3 linked regions of the Xenopus tropicalis genome follow. The protein of the gene in region 2 interacts with the protein of the main gene of each other region in a biochemical or structural test. Links are inferred from orthologs where the notes say so. Each region holds a gene or a part of one and is shown on either strand. Other genes may lie near its edges.

The links.
Region 1: the proteins of ngf (region 2) and sort1 form a complex in vitro, tested with the Homo sapiens proteins (3 studies listed by BioGRID and IntAct, with this or other methods). The link is inferred for Xenopus tropicalis from reciprocal best matches to the Homo sapiens genes NGF and SORT1.
Region 3: the proteins of ngf (region 2) and ngfr form a complex in vitro, tested with the Homo sapiens proteins (2 studies listed by BioGRID and IntAct, with this or other methods). The link is inferred for Xenopus tropicalis from reciprocal best matches to the Homo sapiens genes NGF and NGFR.

Annotation. Positions count from the first base shown.
Region 1 is NC_030678.2:71,416,999-71,423,261, reverse strand, and holds part of sort1 (sortilin), read left to right. Parts: intron 1-3,265; coding exon 3,266-3,456; intron 3,457-3,884; coding exon 3,885-4,074; intron 4,075-4,171; coding exon 4,172-4,288; intron 4,289-6,263.
Region 2 is NC_030678.2:52,932,742-52,939,798, forward strand, and holds the start of ngf (beta-nerve growth factor precursor), read left to right. Parts: upstream 1-2,729; 5' UTR 2,730-2,780; intron 2,781-7,057. UniProt on the Homo sapiens protein: Nerve growth factor is important for the development and maintenance of the sympathetic and sensory nervous systems.
Region 3 is NC_030686.2:14,204,149-14,211,155, forward strand, and holds the start of ngfr (tumor necrosis factor receptor superfamily member 16), read left to right. Parts: upstream 1-2,945; 5' UTR 2,946-3,057; coding exon 3,058-3,093; intron 3,094-7,007. UniProt on the Homo sapiens protein: Low affinity receptor which can bind to NGF, BDNF, NTF3, and NTF4. Forms a heterodimeric receptor with SORCS2 that binds the precursor forms of NGF, BDNF and NTF3 with high affinity, and has much lower affinity for mature NGF and BDNF.

The sequences.
Region 1 (6,263 bases), about 18 Mb from region 2:
ACGCAGAAATTGCAAAAAATACGAAAAAGTTACAGAATGGTCGTTTCCAATCCGATTTTTTCCCATTTGGGATTCGGATTCATGGATTAGTAAATGTACCCCTAAGTATGTTATCTACTTACTTACATGTACTAAATGTAAAAAACAATATGTGGGCCAAACTAGCAGAAAACTCAAGGACAGAATCAAAAATGTTATTCCACAGTAGCAAAGCACTTTAATGACTGTTCCAATAGATCTCTGTCCTATTTAAATATCATAGGGATTGATAGAGTAATCCCAGGTCCTCGAGGGGGAGACATCATTCAGACTGTAATAAGAAAAGAAACCAAATGGATTTTTTTTCTCAAAACCAGACAACCGAATGGTTTAAATTTTGAATATGATGTAACCTGTTATGTATAATAATTGTGTTCTTAACTTGCCTATAATATTGGATTTTCACTCTCACAATTGAGATTTAAGTTTCAATAAGTTCAATAATCAAAATAAATTCCAATAAAATTAGGATTTATCAATCTTACTGAACAAATACATGCACGGAATCAGTATGCGAGATGCCAGGCTCCCCCCTACTGCCTCCTCTAGCAGGGTCACCTAGAGAAGTAATCACTCATTAATGCCTTGCTTCTCAACCTGTCTATCAAAAGGAGCACATCATAAACTGAGAGGATTCAACTTGAGGTTTACTTCAAGGAGCTCCCTCCCTCTTCACCTCAATAGCATGCAGGCTTGATGTTCCGTTGCCTGCCTGCCTGCTTCAAACAGTTCCATTCCTGCCTGCTTGTAAAGGCTCTCCCTCCCCCTCCCCATTAGACACAGACACCGAAGCTGAAAGCAGGGAGCGTGTGATGTCACGCCAGGGGGCGGGGCAAGGAACCAGGAAGGAGCGGAGCACAGAAGAGCACACAGGGAATCAGGTAGCAGAGGGTGTTAATTGGAGCGACTCGAGTATAAGCCGAGGGTTAATTTTTCAGCACATTTTGGGAGCTGAAAAACTTGGTTAATACTCGAGTATATACGGTATGTTGTAAATGTTAGTTATCCTATGATTAAGTACCCTATTGGTACGAAACGCGTAAGGCTTTTGTTTTTTTTTTAAACACAAGATTATTTGCCCCAAGTTTTTAAAGGAGAAGAAAAGGAGTAGCTAGAATAGGCGGTGACAGTGTGTTAGGCACCTCCCAGTTATTATACCTCCGAACTAGGCACGGGGTGCTGTTATTCTTGATCCCTGTATCAGCAATCCCTTATGGCTGCCCTGGCTGTTTTGGATTTGGCAAAGGGTTTCGGGTAAATCCTAATATGCAAATTTGAATTTCTGGGAGAAAGAATTGTCAATTTCCAAGTAACGTGGTCTAAATTCATCTTTCTACCAGGCACTTGAATTGTACCAAAAAAGGCTTGGATTCGGCAGACTCCCAAACCGAATAGTGTATCCCTACTTCGCATTAAATATATAATATTCTCCCTAAATTTTGTACTTAAGGTTCATGGAACATATTCTTAAATGACATGTAAACCCCCCACACACAAATGTAATCAGTGAACAGCCTCTTTTCAAAACCTGCCACTGGTTGTCCAGAGGTTAATAGTAAAGGTAGGCATACACGGGCCAATTGTAGCTGCCGATATCTGTCCCTTGTTCCCTTTACCAAAGAACAATATAGGAAAGTATGCTTTCATCGTTTTGCATATATAACTTTTTTTTTAGTTTTGTTTCTTTAATCATATAAAGATATGCGAACGCTTTGTAATTCAACGTGTATCTGATAAAAATCAGGTTGTTAATACAACCTCAGGCTTTTCCTATGTAAATATATGGTAGTATAGGTATGAGACCTGTATCCAGAACGCTCAGGAGTCTATTGGATATGGCCTTCAAAGCTTTCTGGATAGCAGGTTTCCGGGTAACAGATCCTATAACTGTACTATATATCTGTTCAAATGAGAGAAAACCTCATTCACACTATACACCAGAAAATGTGAACTGAGGTGTGCCCTGATGAAGTCCTGGGCACTGCAGAAGTTCTTTCTTTCGGTACTTGTGATACATGTCCTGTACCGCATATCTAATTGGGTTTTTTTTAATTATGTTTTTATATTTGCATAGTTCAAGTTCATAGTTCATACATCAGTAATGAGTGTTATTCATTTTTCAGCCTTCTGAATACATTTATAGCTTCAGTATTTTCATTTGATAAGGAAAAATGTGCATACTCGGCATCCAAAAATTAAGGCATTTTGAACATGCTTAATTCTTTAGCGAACACCAGGGGACCCAGGCACTCACCCCCTTTTTACTTATAATTTTTTTGAAATGCATAGTATTCATAGCATTTACATGCCTTTTTTTCTTCTTTAGATTACATTTGGCCTGTTTTTCCCCAGGAAATTATGCACAATAGTCTGTGCATACTTTGCAAATTTGCTGATTTTCTGTCTACATTGAACTGAATTTCTAAACAGTACATTGCTTTGTTTTACAACAGACTTTCTGCAGGTGCAAAACAGTACAACCTTTCACACTATCTTAGAATTTGCCAAGATAAAGGCTTTAAGGGGATGTAAACCCAAAAAACTACATTTTGCCTAATAAAAGAAAATTTAATTTCTTTTTTCCATCAGCAATATACTGTGGTTTTGACTGACAGACCACAGTATGTTGTTAGTAAAAACACCTCTAGAATCCTAAGACTGAGTACAGGCTGTGTGCTTGCTCGGCTAACATATGACTGCATTGCTAAATTCAATTCTAGCTACATTATCAAGTTCACAGATCACACAACAGTATATCTGTTTTGACAATTAGTTTCAAGAGACAGAACTTGTAGTTTAGAAAGGGACACAAAAATACTACTTTCAGTTGCAATTCTGTTTTTGTTGTGGATATATATTGGAAAGTTGCTTAGAATGTAAATTAACATTTTTTTGTCTTTAATGAATGTAATTAAAAGCTGTCCTCTTTATAACCCATATATTAATTAATCTGGCTCATCATTTTTTCAATAACCGCTTTATTTTGTAAATCCTCATCATCTTAGGGCTGCATTTTTAGATCAGTTCCATTTATATGGCTACAATAAGATGTATTTATCCCCATGAGAGACTTAAATCCGATACACTAAATTTAGCTACAGTTAGACCATCTGACACTGGCAAAGATTAAAGTGAAGTAGAAGTATAGAAGCCTTCTTTTTAATTATGCTGTTTTCTAGGTCTGTTCATTGTTACCAAGCTGTAATATTTTACTGTTTTCCTTCAGGTTCTCCATAGATGAGGGCCAGTGCTGGTTCTATTACAAGTTCACGAATGATTCTTTCATATTTACTGGCCTAGCATCTGAGCCAGGTGCTCTTTCTCTGAATGTGACCATATGGGGATATCAGCCTGGTGTTATTCGCCACATCTGGATGTCTTACACTATTGATTTTGCTCATCTTTTACACAAAGACTGTGAGTCTTCTAGAATTTGGTTTTCCTGATGTTCTGTGTCATTGATACACTTCTTTTAGGGCACATTTTTTTCACTGTAGTGTATACCAGAAAAAACAGAAGCAGAATAATCAAATCACTTCCCATCATAGGTAATAGAAATTATTGTAAAAAAAGGTTGGAAAACAGATTATAGATCTTATAGATAATGGATTTTTAACTTAGAAAATTCATGGTTTTACAGTGAAAAATGGCATAAATGCTGCTGTTATTTATTGCATTTTTCTCTTGCACTTGACCACTTGTCATATGATTATACCTGTATTTAGCAAATAAGGTTAAAAAACATTTTCACATTAACATTTATTCCTCCAATCTTGTCTTATTTGTTTTACTCATGTCACCTATAATGGACTTTTGTGATGCGTGACATGGTCGTTTCTGTTCAGGTGAAGAAAAGGATTACATTTTGTGGCTGGCACACTCAACTGATCCTCAGGCACCTTTGGATGGTTGTGTTTTGGGATACAAGGAGCAGTATTTTCGGCTACGCAAATCTTCAGTGTGCCAGAATGGGCGTGATTATACAGTGAGCAAAGTACACACACCTTGTGCTTGCACCCTGGATGACTACATGTGGTACTGATGCTCGTGTTTATTCATATCTTAAAACATCCAATGTAATCAGCTTAAAGGACACCTCCAGAGATATCCAATCTCTTTTCTTTCTTGTCAGCGATTTTGGTTATTATCGTAACGAGAATGAATCAGAGTGTGTGGAGCAGTCAGAGCTAAAGGGACAGGAACTGGATCTGTGTGTATATGGAGAAGAAGAGAAGCTTACCACTAGTGGGTAAGTACATTGCACAGACCAAAACAATATGGCAAGGTATCATCTACTACTATTATAGAGATAATTGGTCAGATTCAGATCAATGAGAATATAGCATAAAAACTTATGGACGAGATACAGTTTTTCTCCTTATTCATTTTTAGTTTTTCCGATAGACTTAGGGGCTGATTTACTAAGACACGATTTCGAATCCGAATTGGAAAAATTCAGATTGGAAACGAACATTTTGCGACTTTTTCGGTAATTTTGCGATTTTTTTCGTATTTTTTGCGATTTTTTTCGTATTTTTTGCGATTTTTTTCGGTGTCTTTACGATTTTTGCGTAAAAACGCGAGTTTTTCGTAGCCATTGCGAAAGTTGCGCAAAGTCGCGATTTTTTCGCAGCGTTAACACTTGCGCGCAAAGTCGCGCCTTTTTCGTAGCGTTAAAACTTAAAAGGCGCGACGTTTCGCGCAAGTTTTAACGCTACGAAAAAATCGCGACTTTGCGCAACTTTCGTAATGGCTACGAAAAACTCGCGTTTTTACGCAAAAATCGTAAAGACGCCGAAAAAATTGCAAAAAATACGAAAAAATCGCAAAATTACCGATCATTACGAAAAAACCGCAATCGGACGCATATGGCCCATTCGTGGGTTAGTAAATGTGCCCCTTAGAGTTTTAATGTGGTAAACAGTGAGATAAGTTTTGTTAAGTTTAGGTAAGTATATATATATATATATATATAACAATACTGTCACTGCACTCATCCATAGTGCGAACCCCGGAGCACACGGGTTATTTGCAAAAAAGTGTATTAAAAAGAATCACATATGCGACGTTTCGGACAAAACACATGCCCTTTATCAAGCCTGTAATAACGCGATCCATCCAGTGAATCGCATTTAAAGGGATATACAGGAAATGACATCATAGACTAAGCGTTCCCATAGCGATTCATTTCAAGTCATAGTATACATTTTACATATACAGGACGTTGTCAGTCAAATAGCAGCATCTTATATAGAAAAAATGTGCAGTTGCATACAAATACTTACAAAAAGAGAAACAAATCATAATCCCTGTTCAATCCAATAGGAAAAAGCGATTGTAATTTATTAATCCACCACACCTCCCTTTGTTTCAGCCTAAATTCCCTGTCACCTCCTCTTTTTAGAGGTGGTATAGATTCCAATACCATGAACCTGAGCTGTTCTGCAGTGTGGCCCTTTTCACAAAAATGCTTAGACACCAGTAATGTAGTATTTCCAAGATTAATAGTTGATCGATGTTGTCATATACGGGATTTTACCATCTGTGTGGTCTCACCCACATAGATGAGACCACACGGACAGATCAACACATAAATTGCATATTTTGTTACACATGTGAAGTGCCCCCGTAATTGTACCTTTTGAGGCACCCCCTATGATATCATACCGTAGAGGGAGAACTACACTTTTCTAGGAGCAAAAAGGAAGTTGTTTTGTGCATCCAAAAACAGGTCAGAAGGTACAATTATGGTTGTAAATGTGATTCACTGGATGGATCGCGTTATTACAGGCTTGATAAAGGGCATGTGTTTTGTCCGAAACGTTGCATATGTGATGTGATTCTTTTTAATACACTTTTTTGCAAATAACCCGTGTGCTGCATCTTTTTCAAGTTTTATATATATATATATAATCTATATATTATTGTTACTGGTGTAAGAGTGCTGCATTACGTGACTAAAAAGTCTAATGAACTGTATAGTATATATGAAAATGTTGCTGTAAAGTATTTTTTATTTTAAACTGTTTTTTAGAGAATGCTATGTTTTGGTAAAGAAAGAATTATACTGTTTAGAACTGCGAACAATTTAAATAATTGATCCTTTACTGTGACCCAAAATTGTGTTACTCTGCTATAGAGGTTGGGTTTCAGTCATTCATCTAGGAAAATTTTACTGATAGAGATAAAAATATTTGTTTTTAAACCAAATTTTGGGTCGCAAC
Region 2 (7,057 bases):
CCCCCCCAGCAGTTGCAGCGTCTGCTTCCACTATTCTTATGTCCCCTGAAGTGATGTGGTTCAGGGGACGAGATTTAATTTAAACATTTCCTGCTGTATTGTGCACATGAACACTCTTCTTCTATAGCTTTTTTCAATATATAACTTTGCTGCTCACACAATAACATTCATCCACTAGGTCCTATATCTTAACATTAAAACTCTACAGGGGGCTATGAGAGAAGATAGAAGACAAAGAGAAGACATAAGACAGAGACAAAGGTATTGTATGTAAGGCTAAAATGCAACTAGGGAAACCTCCATTTAAGGTAAGAAAAACAAAGTAAGGATGACTTAATTATATGTTTACTGCTTAAAAGTTAATTTAAACAAATACAAAAAAGTCCTGTATGATACCACTGTCTGGCAATGCCTAAGATAGGTGCAGTTGGATTCTTGCGCCTGATGCTACTCCATTGTAGGTGCAATAAATGATGTTGGATGCCACGTGCACAGTGCTATATCAGTACAGGCATGGGACCCGTTATCCAGAATGCTCGGAACCTGGGTTTCTGGATGAGGGGTCTTTCCGTAATTCAGATCTCCTACCTTAAGTCTACTTAAAAAATTATTTAAACAGTAATTAAATCCAATAGGATTGGCTCCAATAAGGATTCATTATATCTTAGTTGGGATCAAGAACAAGCTACTGTTTTATTATTACAGAGAAAAAGGAAATAAGGGATAAGGGGTCCCATACCTGTAATTTCATTTAATCAGGTGTGCCTAATATTGGGAAACGTACTTAATTTTATGACCAAATTGCATTTGACTTCTCCTACCTTTCTCTCCCTTTGCCACTTTATCTCATCCCTTCTATGTTTCTAACTCACATACTCCCCTTAAGATCTGTTGTATTTATGTGGATAACACAACTTTAGGAACAATATATCACTGAGAAAGAAAGCCTTACAGAAGATACCAATACAGTATACTATAATGTTTTCTCTTTCCAAATAGACCTAGCAGCAACTATGGATATAAGATTGATGGGAAGCACTTATGGCTCCGCTTTTCTGAACCTGGTCTTGAGAAGTTTTTGTAAAGGGTGCGTCTTGATGCTTTGGAATATAAACAAACAAGAAATGATACTTCTTATACTCCTTTATATACTATGTGTAAATGGCCACTGCAATTACATTATCTACAGTTTCTCATATGAAACAACATTCACCATGTACTTTATACCATATTGGTGCTCATGGAGGTCTTTGGTGCCACTACAGTGTTTTAAGAAACACATATGAAAATGTTACATTCCTTTCCGGTATACAGTGTTTCCTATATTATCTTTAGCAGGATGGGTGAAGCAGTTTCCCCTTCATCGTGCTTTATCATGAAGTGAGGATTGCAAAGGAAACATGTACTTCTGTTTGGGAAATGTGTTGCCATCTATGAAAAGATCTTCTATGAAAAGATTTACAGATACATTTCTCAATGCAAAGAATCTACAGAGACAGAATAACAAGTTAAGTATAGATACATCCAGGCACAGGTTATTCTGCATGGGGAACCTTATTTAACTACATATTCCCATACTGGATAATCTGAAAAAAAATATGACGTCATCTATATACTGTAATGAAACAGTGCTCCCCAGTGGCCAGATGGTAGCAGTTATATATATCCTGCTTATAGCCACACACCCCAGAGCCCTGGAGTATAAATTCTGCCATGTCTGATTGCTATAATGTTTAGTCGTAAAAAAGACTGCCATCTAACCCTATCAAAAAAGGGCAGCAATTATTTCTGCCAACTCTTCTGTATATTTCTACAAAGGAGCTGGTTTGCTCATGGTGATAATGGGCAATTCTACAGGGGTTTTGCACTCCCATCCTGCCCTACTGCAGCTTCAGATACTGAGGACATTGCACACTGACTATCACTACCACCTCCATTATAAAATGTCATACCTCAAGATAGTATTGAGGATGATTATCTATTACTTTTTATTTAATTCTATTAATCATGTAAAATGATTTTTTTCTGGTGATAATTTTTAACTAAATGTTAATGTTTTAATATAAAACCTTTACTCAATATGTAAATTATTATATGATGAGGATTTTAATTCAGTAGGTAATGCCTCACACAGGAAATATTTAATTCTTCTCTTAAAGGAATACCTAAATGTGATATATATTTTTTTTACAACTGAAAAGAGTCACATAACAAAGAGATGATATTGAAAAAATATCTACTTCAGGGGGGCACATTGCCCCCTTTTAAAGTAGAAAAATCCCTTCAAAGGGTTTCAATCAGTCGGTGTGTTGAGCACTTAAAAACACCAGCACAGGCTTGATGGTGATAGGCTGAGGCATAATCCTAGTTTAAACTTTGCCATCGCTCTAGGGGTTATTATCAGCTTTTCCCATGTAGATTAAGAGAGAATCCATTAGAGATTTACATTATGACGGACTAAAGTGATGAGTTTCCATTCTGTAACTAATTCCCTAAACTCTTCTTAAACTGAAATTGAAATTTCACTAGAAGTGCAGCAGAGAGAAGAATGTGAAACACACCTGGTTTCTTTCAGAAAGGCACTAGGACCTAGAGGAAATGTGCTGCCTTATGAGTCAGCCCTAGTACTGGAGCTCCTGAAACCAGTGAATGAGAACAGACATGTGAATGGCTCAGCTGGGTTTCAAAGCATTTTGTGGACTAGGATACAAGAGGCTACAAAATAACTGGTTTAGCCAGGATTTTACCTTCTTGTGATCGACAGACACTCTGCAGCACAGGTAAGCATCTACCTAAACTCTCCTCTATGTAAATACTGACTCTGTTTATTAAACGTAAACTTTGGATTTTGATTACTACAGACGTACTGAAGCGTATAATAAAAGGATGTTTTTTCATGTAGTTTAAGCACCATCTAAACAAAGTGTGTGCTTTAGGGTAACCCCCTTGCAGGTAATTATGGGGCACTCCTAACCCTGCCACGTCTGTCGCAATAACTTCTGTAATAATGGAATTAGACTTACCATTTGAAGACATAAAGTGCCTGTCTTTTGAAAGTAGTGTGCATATTACTGCTGTGGATTTTTACTCTCTCATTTGGAGACAGACTGGGTTTAGGGAAGCAATAAATTAAGAAAGCAGCAGGTGAACCATTGTTATGAAATGAGTTTGATGAAATTGTAAGCTTTGCAAGACACAAGCTTATACCTTTACTGTATGTATTGGGCTCTTTAAGACATTCAGATTAGATCAAATAATATGCGTGGTCCATGACCTACTAGAATGCAAATTGTCTTGAATCAGTTTTTTTTTTTATAATACAACAGGTGGTTGTTTGCTATATCAGATTTTTACATATTTGCTGATTTTTCAATATATGAACTTGTAGAGTAAGTTTCTGGCTCTTGCATATGTTTCCCATGTATAAGGTGCGGAGTGCTAAAATGTGTTCCTGTTACAAGACATGCCTCTCTAGTTAACATAGCATTGAAGACTTTGTCTGATGCTATTACTTGCACTTGGATAGGAGTGTGTGTAGAAGATCATATGGGACAAAAAAAATTAACCATATACAAGCTCACCTTCATGATCTACATTCTACAAATCTTACTTAATGAGCTATAACAGAAAAAAATATTTTGCAGGCATTCCAAGCATGCCATATTAGTATTAAGCGTACAGTAAATCCTCAGTTCTGTTTAACCCCTTGGCTGTTATTAAGCATTTAAGGTCGGTGCGGAACAGACGAGGACTTGCTTGTTGTGACTTGGTTCCTATGCTCCTTAATCTTTGTTGATTGCTAATGTGAAGCCTGCAAAGCTGCCGGATAGTAATGTAACTTCTTATGGGATAAACCTTGGGTGTTTTCACGCATTAAACTGCATTACGTTAAGGCTTGTAGAGTATTAGCCAAAGCCAAGGCTGCCAGATTTCAGCTACATGAAGAGCTCTGTAATTCTTTTATACAGTGTACATTGCAATACCTGACAAAAAAGTGCACACTTTACAACTACCCATTCTCCTTTTAGATTGTAAGCTCTATTGATTAGGGCCCACTTTACCATTTGCATCAGTTACTGGTTGTAAATTTTGCCCTTCTATTGTACAATGCTGCAGAATATGTTGGTGCTTTATAAATACTTGTTAAGAATAAAAACAATAATAATATCTTAGAGTGCAATTCTTAACACCAACATTCTGTTTCTCTTCCACCACCACAAACACAGAATTGTCTGCACATATTTTGATGTGTTGTCTGCATTACTAGAGCCATGCAAGGCAATCATGTTAAACAGATGGTGTATACGAAGCAGATGTGATATTATATTTGTCTTATACTTATTTGTTAGGCATTGAGTAAACAACATGTCCTTTTACCAAGCTTCCACCAGAAATGCTGTAGATATAGTGAATGTTATCTTTGTTGATATTTTACTATCATTTATAATCACTGAATATTGTCTGTTACATTTGTTGATAACAATAATTGCATAGAAACAATTTGGAAAATATCTGTCAAACTGCCAATCATGCCTTCATTGATGTTAGACTTTTCAGATTGCTGTAGGTGCCAAATAAGAGGTGAATTAAGGCAACACGGCAGAGTATTAGGTAGGATTAGATAGAGTTTATCACATCTGTTAACCTTCTCTTTGTACAGATGTGTCTTACATTACCTGCCAGAATATGTATATTTGTAGAATATGTATATTTGTAAAGAATGTTAACTGGAGGGGTGGTGGCTCAGGACAGCTTTATTGGGGTAAGACATGTGACTTTTTTTTTAAAAAAAAGCAGGCAATGATATTGGAAGGACCTGATAGTTTTGCCTACTGTACACTGGGGGCTCAGCTGTTCAGTAACTGGGGACAGTGTTATATCCATAGCTTCCATAGCAATTGTTCTATTGTACACAGCACAAGCCTGGAAACATCAATGTTGTTGATGCCAAAGGCACATATTACTTTTTTTTTATAAATAAAAGTCTGTTGCAGACGAAAGTAACAGAGACAGCTTGAAGGATTGGATTGTTCCCATACTAACCTGGATTCCTTGCCAACTATTATTAACCTCTGTGCAACCATACTACATATATGGCAGTATGAGGTTTATGCTACCTACAATAGAGGTATCTAAAGCACTGTTATATAATGTATAAAATGTACTGTACTTTGTGAAGTCGCTGAAAATGTATACCATAAATTATAGTCATATGGTGAAGATGCCTAGCTATATTTATGCTGTTGACTCCCTTCATAAGTGGTCCTCTCTGCAGCTCCCATCTAGACACCTAAAGCAGCCAAGTCTATCTTTTGACTCTCAGCGCACCACTGCCTGATGGAAAGCAGAGGGAGAAAGGTTGTGCAGTAGGCATAATGGGAGAGCCTAGACGCTGTTTCTTTTCTTAGAGGCTACCTTTAGGAGCAGTAAGAGTAGTCAGGAGTGACCAATGTATTTTAAATCATGCTTGAGGTAAGAGACAAAAATAAACAGTGGATCCAACCCTACAGCATATATTGACATATACTGACACAAACATATATATTTAAATATGAACTATAAGTGTTATAAATAGAACTTATGGTCATATTTTTCCCATACAAATTACAATATCAGTGGTATTACACCTTTGGTAAGAATATTTAGATTTTGGCAGCCTCATTTCTATAACAGTGATTGACGTAAAACGAATAGTTTAGTCTGCCATCAAATGAGGGACAGATTCATTGCATTTAGCTAGTGGCAAACCCCAGCTAAGTAATCTTCCCATATATGGAGGAAGCCCAAAACTCTAGAGTGTAATTTGTCAGTTCCTGTATATTTTAAAGAGGTGGGAGAGGGGGAATGTAATTCTTTGACTTCACTTTACAGTAATTAGTTATGTTCCTTTCCCAGGTCAGGAGGATTTGCATTTATTTAAAACGTGTCCTATGTCAGTGGTTTTACTAAAGCGAACTTCAGAATAATAAATGGCACTGATTTTAAAAGTCAGTGTATTCTTTTATTGGAGATTCTGCTGTAACACATGCTGGCATTATGTTAGTTACACAATGATCTTCAACCTGTGGCTGAACTACAAATCCCAGAAACCCCTAAAAGTTACCTTTCGTTGAGGGATGTTGAGAGCTTTAAAATAACAACAACTGGAGAGCCGTATGCTAAAGTGACCTAAAATACAGTTCTTTTTTTATTGATTTAGACAGCTTAACTGAATGGAATAAATATTTATCTCAATATCTAATCGGAATGAAGGGGTCCATTTTCTGTTAGGCAAAACTATTAATTAATTGCCATCAGTTTCAATGTATTGTGTGTTCTATTTTAAATGCAAGCTTATTATGGCTACTATGGCACATGTAGCTGCAAACACAAGATTACATGCAATTTAAGTCATTTTGCTATTTGCAGAGGTGCCTAGATACACTTATCACATCTGATACCTAGGGGCTGATTTACTAACCCACGAATCCGACCCGAATTGGAAAAGTTCCGACTTGAAAACGAACATTTTGCGACTTTTTCGTATGTTTTGCGATTTTTTCGGCGTCTTTACGAATTTTTCGTTACCAATACGATTTTTGCGTAAAAACGCGAGTTTTTCGTAGCCTTTACGAAAGTTGCGTAAAATCTTGCGATTTTTCCGTAGCGTTAAAACTTACGCGAAAAGTTGCGCCTTTTTCGTAGCGTTAAAACTTAAAAGGTGCGAAGTTTCGCGTAAGTTTTAACGCTACGAAAAAAGCGCAACTTTTTGCGCAAGTTTTAACGCTACGAAAAATCGCAAGATTTTACGCAACTTTCATAATGGCTACGAAAAACTCGCGTTTTTACGCAAAAATCGTATTGGTAACGAAAAATTTGTAAAGACGCCGAAAAAATCGCAAAAAATACGAAAAAATCGCAAAATACCGATCTTTACGAAAAAAACGCAATCGGACTCATTCCGACCCGTTTGTGGGTTAGTAAATCAGCCCCCTAGTGTCGATGCACCAGTTCAGCCTGCTCTGAAGTTTAGCACAGTTGAGTGCAAGGTAGAAAATATAGGCCCTATATTGAGGAT
Region 3 (7,007 bases), on a different chromosome or scaffold from region 2:
GGAATCATTTAACCATGAAATAAACCCAATAGGGCTGTTCTGCCCCCAATAAGGGGTAATTATATCTTAGTTGGGATCAAGTACAAGGTACTGTTTTATTATTACAGAGAAAAAGGAAATTATTTTATTAAATTAAAATTATTTGCTTATAATGGAGTCTATGGGAAATTGCCTTTCCATAATTCAGAACTTTCTGGATAACGGGTTTCCGGATCCCATACCTGTAAATGTAAAACAGTGCTGCTAAATGTTCACCTTTGCCTAGCTTCATTATAAATCTCTATGAGGTGGCTCTTGAATTCATCACTGTCAGAAAGTATGTTTCTGGGATTCAGCTATAAAGGCCTGCTTCCTTTTCTTCCCAGAACCCTTTGCTACAGAGAGGATGTGGCTGCTTGATGGATAATTTCATCTAATTTGGCCTGCCTTTGCTCTTTGTGGCCCCAGAATAATGCCATAACAAGGGACATGGGTCAGTGGGATTTTCCTTCCTTACTGGGTGAGAACAGTCAGATTTCCCTCTGCCCACTGCTGCCTTGTTCCTGACAAACCCCAAATGCCCCAGGCCATAAATTCCAGACATCCGTCCATTGCAATCCTATAAGGCTGATTCCTCTTTAGAGACCCCAAATCCCCTGCAGCTGTTTAACTCATGAGACCCTGATACTAAAAGACTTGTCTACACATAAAGGCAAACTATGGCATTTGTAGCCAATGAGCACCAATTGACCAACTTAATCCAGTGACTTTACTTAAGATGACCTTATAATGGTGTGGTTGCCAAATGAGCGTCTCTTTGCCCAATTTGCCTACCCAGGTACATGCCCAAATTGGGCTGATCCAACCTTTGGTGCAGGGGACAATTGGATTATACTGCGGTACTGTGGAGACCCATTAGGTGAAAACTGCATTAATGCCCAAAATATATTTACCTGATGTTTGGACAGGCAGGTCCTCCCAGGAGTACCATACAGGGGCCATTTTAACTGGTTGACGTATGGCCAGCATTATTCCCTGGCTTTCACTGCATATGGAGATAGCTTTCTCACAAAATACATTTGCTTATTTAGTAAATAGGGTGGGGGAGGTGCTTGGCCAGGGGCCACTGGTAATGAGCAGCTTGCTCACTTATTTTGGCAGCAGTTTTTCCTGCTGCAGGGCATAATTGTCTATACACTGCTGTCCCCTAGTTACAGCCATGACAGCCATGACTTTATTCCTAACATATTGCTTTAAATACATGTCAGCCTGTACATATCAGTAAATAACAACAGAAGCAGGCTAAAGACTTTGGTGGTTGGAGAACCTGAACCAAAGAGCTTACATTCTTAATAAGTGCAGCTTCGTCTGATCTACAAACCAGGTTTTAGAATAGTCAGCCCTAATATAAATTTTGCTGAAATATTTTGTCTTTGCTATACACACAATGCTACAGTTACAGCGTCTGCCCCAACGCTGTCTTGCCTTACTATACACACTGTGCCACAACATAAGCTTTTCCCTATTACAGCCCCTTCGCCTGAACCCACTTTGCCTTATGCTACATAATACAGGTATGGGATCCGTTATCCGGAAACCCGTTATCTAGAAAGCTCCGAATTACGGAAAGCCTGTCTCCCACAGACTCCATTTTAATCAAATAATTCAGAATTTTAAAAATGATTTCATTTTTCCCTGTAGTAATAAAACCGCACCTTCTGCTTGACTCCAGTTAAGATATAATTAATCCTTATTGGATACAAAACAAGCCTATTGGGTTTAATTAATGTTTTAGTAGATTTTTTTAGTAGACTTAAGGTATGGAGATCCAAATTACGGAAAGACCCCTTATCTGGAATACCCTTGGTCCTGAGCATTCTGGATAACGGGTCCTATACCTGTACCATATGAATTGCTATACAGGTATAGGACCCATTATCCAGAATGCTCGGGACCAAGGGTATTTCCGTAATTTGGATCTCAATACCTTAAGTCAACTAAAAAATCAATAAAACATTAATTAAACCCAATAGGATTGTTCTGCATCCAATAAGGATTAATTATATCTTAGTTGGAATCAATTACAAGGTTCTGTTTTATTTCTACATAGAAAAAGGAAATCAGTTTTAAAATTCTGAATTATTTGATTAAAATGGAATCTATGGGAGACGGGCATTACGTAATTCGGAGCTTTCTGGATAACGGGTTTCCGGATAAGGGGTCCGATACCTGTACTATGCATTCCCACTATCCCACAGTTACAGAACTTTCTTTAAACCATCGTGCCCGACTTTACCCATAATCGCAGTTACAGCCCTGGGTTTGGCGGGGGGCACTGCAGTGGTGCCACAGTGCCAGCTTGGCAGATTATTTCCCGTTGCAGGCTGCTGCTGCGCAGACAGATGGAAGCAGTGTGCAGAGGCGCAGCTGTAAGTACAGTTCTGCTGTTACACAGGCTTTTTACAAACCCAAAGGGAAAACAGAGAAACTTATTTAAAGACAAGAGTGCTCAGTGTTCTCCCTCCCCATACATGATGTTGTATGATATCTGCCCTTGAGGATATGTAATGGCACCCCCAGACTAATTCCAAGAATGCCTAATGCCTTCCCCCTGGCACCCCTTCCCATTACCTGTGCCCCCTGCCCATTGCTTAAAAGCTCTATTATCTTCCTGCCAAACCCCAAGTGTGCACAGTAAGCCCCACTAAGACAATAAAGAGGAGATCAAGAGAATAAAAAAGGCTGCCTCTTCCTTTTCTTTTTTTCTGTCTCCTAATGAGCAGTTAAGTGTATATGGGGCTCCCATCCAAATAACCTTCCCTAAATCCAATCCCTGCCACCACCAGTCTTTGCTTGTTCAAGAGGCTCTCAGTGTAGAAGGGGAGGGGCTGTGGGTGACAGTGGGCGTGGCCTGTGGGGATGACTGGGCTTGCTGGTGGGAGGACAGCTAAGAGGGTGGTTTTCATAAGCAGAAGGGGATGGATTCTTAAGGCTTAAGGGGCAGGTGTTGCTGAATCCTACAGAGCTGCATTCTGCATCTGCTTATCTGCCCTCAGCCATCAGCTTTATAGGATCAGCATGGAAACCCCTCTGTTTATTATCCTGTGCTGCATGGTAAGTGCCTGAGATGTGCCGGCTGCCTGTGTGTGGGGATTGAACTCTGTAATGCAAGTGGTCCTTCTTGGCTGTCCAATGGGGTATGGAGGATGCTCTGAGCATCTCCCTGTGTGCTGCTTGGGTTATTATCCATACAGCTAAATGTGTGTTAGAATAGGAGTTTCATATTTGATGCTACCATAAAGTGCAGCCACAGCCATCAAGGTTTATTTTTCCTTTGCCTTAATATTTGCTTTTTGCCTAATATCTGGGCTCTAGGGTCACAATTTCATGGCACTAGTATAGTTAAAGTTTTATTGGGGAAGGGGGTCATACAGTTTGCCCTGCAGCCCCCAGCAGTTTATTGGCACTTTGAGTGCCCTGCAGGGGTTAAGACACCCAACGCAGCACCGTGCCATGGGGACTCTGCAGTATTGTATGGATTGTTGTAGTGTTTATGTTTACAGGGTGGGAAGCCCAGGGAAGGGGTGGTCTGAGGTCGGTATCTGCAGTGCACTAGGGTTTGGCTGCTGGATAATGCAGTGGTGATAATTACCTTCCTATTACTGCGCACACAAAATCTCTCCGTGCTCAGATTTCAGCACAAGCGGCACAATGCCTGCTCTTCAGTCCACAAGCTCCCAGGCTTCCACTCAAACCTCCCCCCCTCCTCAGCAAAAATCCATTAATGGAAGGGATGAGCTGGGCTGTCAGATGAATGGACGCTGTCACTGTCCCTTTCCTTGGCACAGTCCATCCTTGCTGGCTTTGGTAACATGTGCCACCCCCTTACTCTCTCACCAAGGGCTGTGTGCCAGTCAAAGGGCTGGGGAGGAGGCGGTGGAATTGTCGGGGATCCCCCTGTTCTGCGTCATCCATGGAACCTGTGCTAAATGAGACTTTGGTTTTCCTCCATCAGTCTCTGGAACTGGTACAGGAGATCTCTGTGTATAACACTAGCGTATGCTGTGGGATAGTGTCCTTATGTGGCACCGTGCCTATTAATACTGTAAAGCACTGAATGGCAATACAAAAGCAATGTAAACATAAATGCATGCAGGTCGCTACTGCTAGAACAGTATAAGAAGGTCCAAGCTGTCTGTCAATTGACTGCAATGTTAATAAAGTGTGCAAATGTGTAGCATTTATATCTAACCAATGCTGGGTTCTATGTGTGTATGGCACTTCCTATCAGTCTGACCCTGGCTGGCTCTGGGTATTTGTGTGCAGAACTATATAGCAAACTCAGTCTGGGTGCATGTGTGTGGGACTTTCTATCTATCTGACTTGGGTGCATGTATGTGGGACTTTCTATCTATCTGACTTGGGTGCATGTATGTGGGACTTTCTATCTATCTGACTTGGGTGCATGTATGTGGGACTTTCTATCTATCTGACTTGGGTGCATGTGTGTGGGACTTTCTATCTATCTGACTTGGGTGCATGTATGTGGGACTTTCTATCTATCTGACTTGGGTGCATGTGTGTGGGACTTTCCATCTATCTGACCCTGGGTGCATGTGTGTGGGCCATTCTGTCTGACCCTGGGTGCATGAGCGTTAAACTTTCTATCTGACTTGGGTGCATGTATGTGGGACTTTCCATCTATCTTACTTGGCTGCATATGCGTGGGACTTTCTATCTATCTGACTTGGGTGCATGTGGGTGGGACTTTCTATCTATCTGACTTGGGTGAATGTGTGTGGGACATTTTATCTATCTGAATCTGGGTGCATGGGTTACACTGGGTGAATGTATCAGTTTATTGTAAATGCTCTATATGCTCTACTTTAAACTGCACCCTGCACCCTGGGTGCATATGTGTGGCATATTATATCAGATTGACTCAGGGTGGTCCTTTATATTACGCTAACTGCTCATACAAATAAGGGCACCACTTCCATGTTATGTTTTATCTGTTGTTAGGAATTTAATAAACAAGTTGGGAAAGGCTAGGCAACGTGAGACATGTTTGTTAGTGAAATACTTGGAAGAGGCTTTTGGATGTTATTGCAGTTTGCCACAGACTTGTTCTGGATGGTGACTTGAGAAGGGAAACTATGAATGTACTTGTGATTTGTAATGGGGTGTCTGCATTGGTTGGCAAGTCTTCTCCTAGATGAGGAGCTCTGGAGATGACAAAGTGGTGAGTTTATGGGTTTATGTGTGAGGCCGCTCTGAATGGACACAAATTGGGCGGGTGCCTCTGTATAGGATAACAATCATAGGTTTATGTGTAAGAGGGGCTGTAATGGGGAGGAAAGTAGATTTTGGATGGAGCTCTGATTTTGGGTGGGAAGTTTTGCAAACTTTTCTGGATAGCCAAGGCTGGGTAAGTGAGTGGGTGTTGTAGATCAACTGCTAAATGCCTGTTGTGTTTTTAGATAAACAAAAACATTCATCCATCACTGTCCTGTTTCCTTGGGCTTCCAAACTTTTCCTTTGCAATTAAACGCTGTAGTCTTATGCCGGCAGAGGGACTGTGGGTTTTGCTAAATTGCCTTTGAGATGTTCAGCAATGGTGGGATTACTGCTCCTCAAAAGCCAGCATTAATTAGGAATGTGGAACTTTATATGGTTTGGCCACAGGCATTCCATTAAGATGACATGCGTAATATTTTACTACTTACTACACCATGGAAAAAATTATATACATAGTTTTGGCTTAGTGGGTTTAGGTAAGGCTTTTTTTTTGTTTATTTTCATTGTTTTTCTCATGTATGTATATATAACATAGAAGATACACGACAGGATAAGGAGAGCAATACTTTCATGTAGAAGACTGATATATCCAGGAATTATCCACATATAGAGGAAATAAATTGTCTAGATTTTCTACAAATGGGGTTCTTGGCATTTCTCTTGGGGGACCCAGATAAAATTGGTATTCTGCTTTGGAACCCAAGAATGCACTTTATTAAAATGAATGCTGTTAAAAGAGATTTAGAAGGATAATAGAGACCCACCCAGAACAGCATGGGGTCCCATTTTTGGATCCCCATGCATATGTTAAGAATACCTGTTCTAGAGAGATCTAGAGGATTTGTGGATTGTGGAAACATGTGAGGGAGCTATGTGTTTATGTCAGCCATGTCTAGTCATTCTTTGAATTCTCACGGAAATGCTTAAAAGAACTTGTAAATGTAGATATTTTGGATTTGTTGTTATAGTAATTGGAATAGTACAGGCTAGATCTTTGGGTTACCAAACAATTCCTGAGCTGTTTATGGTTAGGAAGTAACCATAAGAAAGAAAAGTACATGGTTTTTATTGTGGACATTCAAGGTAGTCTGCACCGCCCAACTCCCAGTTATAGTCTGGAAGCCCAGGATATAATATCCACCATAACTGCATGCTGAGATGCTTGTGCTTATAGCTCTGTTGGTGTGAAGGCTGGCATAGTTTGTATTTTATGGATGCAAGTCCTCCATGTATCTGCTAATAGGGGCTGTTATTTTCTATAGAACATCGAGGTTCTCAGGTAAAACAGTTCCAGATAGCATGAAACCACATTCCAAGCTGCTACTCGTTACCACGCCCAGAGCTAAATGCATTCTGGAGTGGCAGGTAGACAGAGTGACAGCTACTACGGCTGATGGAGTGCGATACACATCGCTCATATGCAGGTTGCGCAGGAATGGGCACGACCAGCCTTCCCACCAGTAAATGTGCTGACTCATAACCATCCCAGCTATTAAATATAGCACTAAAAGCCTTGGTTAAATTAGAAGCAATTGACCCATTATGTAGAGACCAGATAAAAGGCAACCTGAAGAGCATGTGTGGGACTTTTTCCTATTTACTTGTCAGGGCACCCAACCATCTGGCTCTGTGTCAGTCTAATCTATTTTTTATGGCTTTTATTATCAACATTTTTAATTTATTTAGTATACGTATATTGCATAGCAACTTTACTTGGTCCCAGTGGAGCT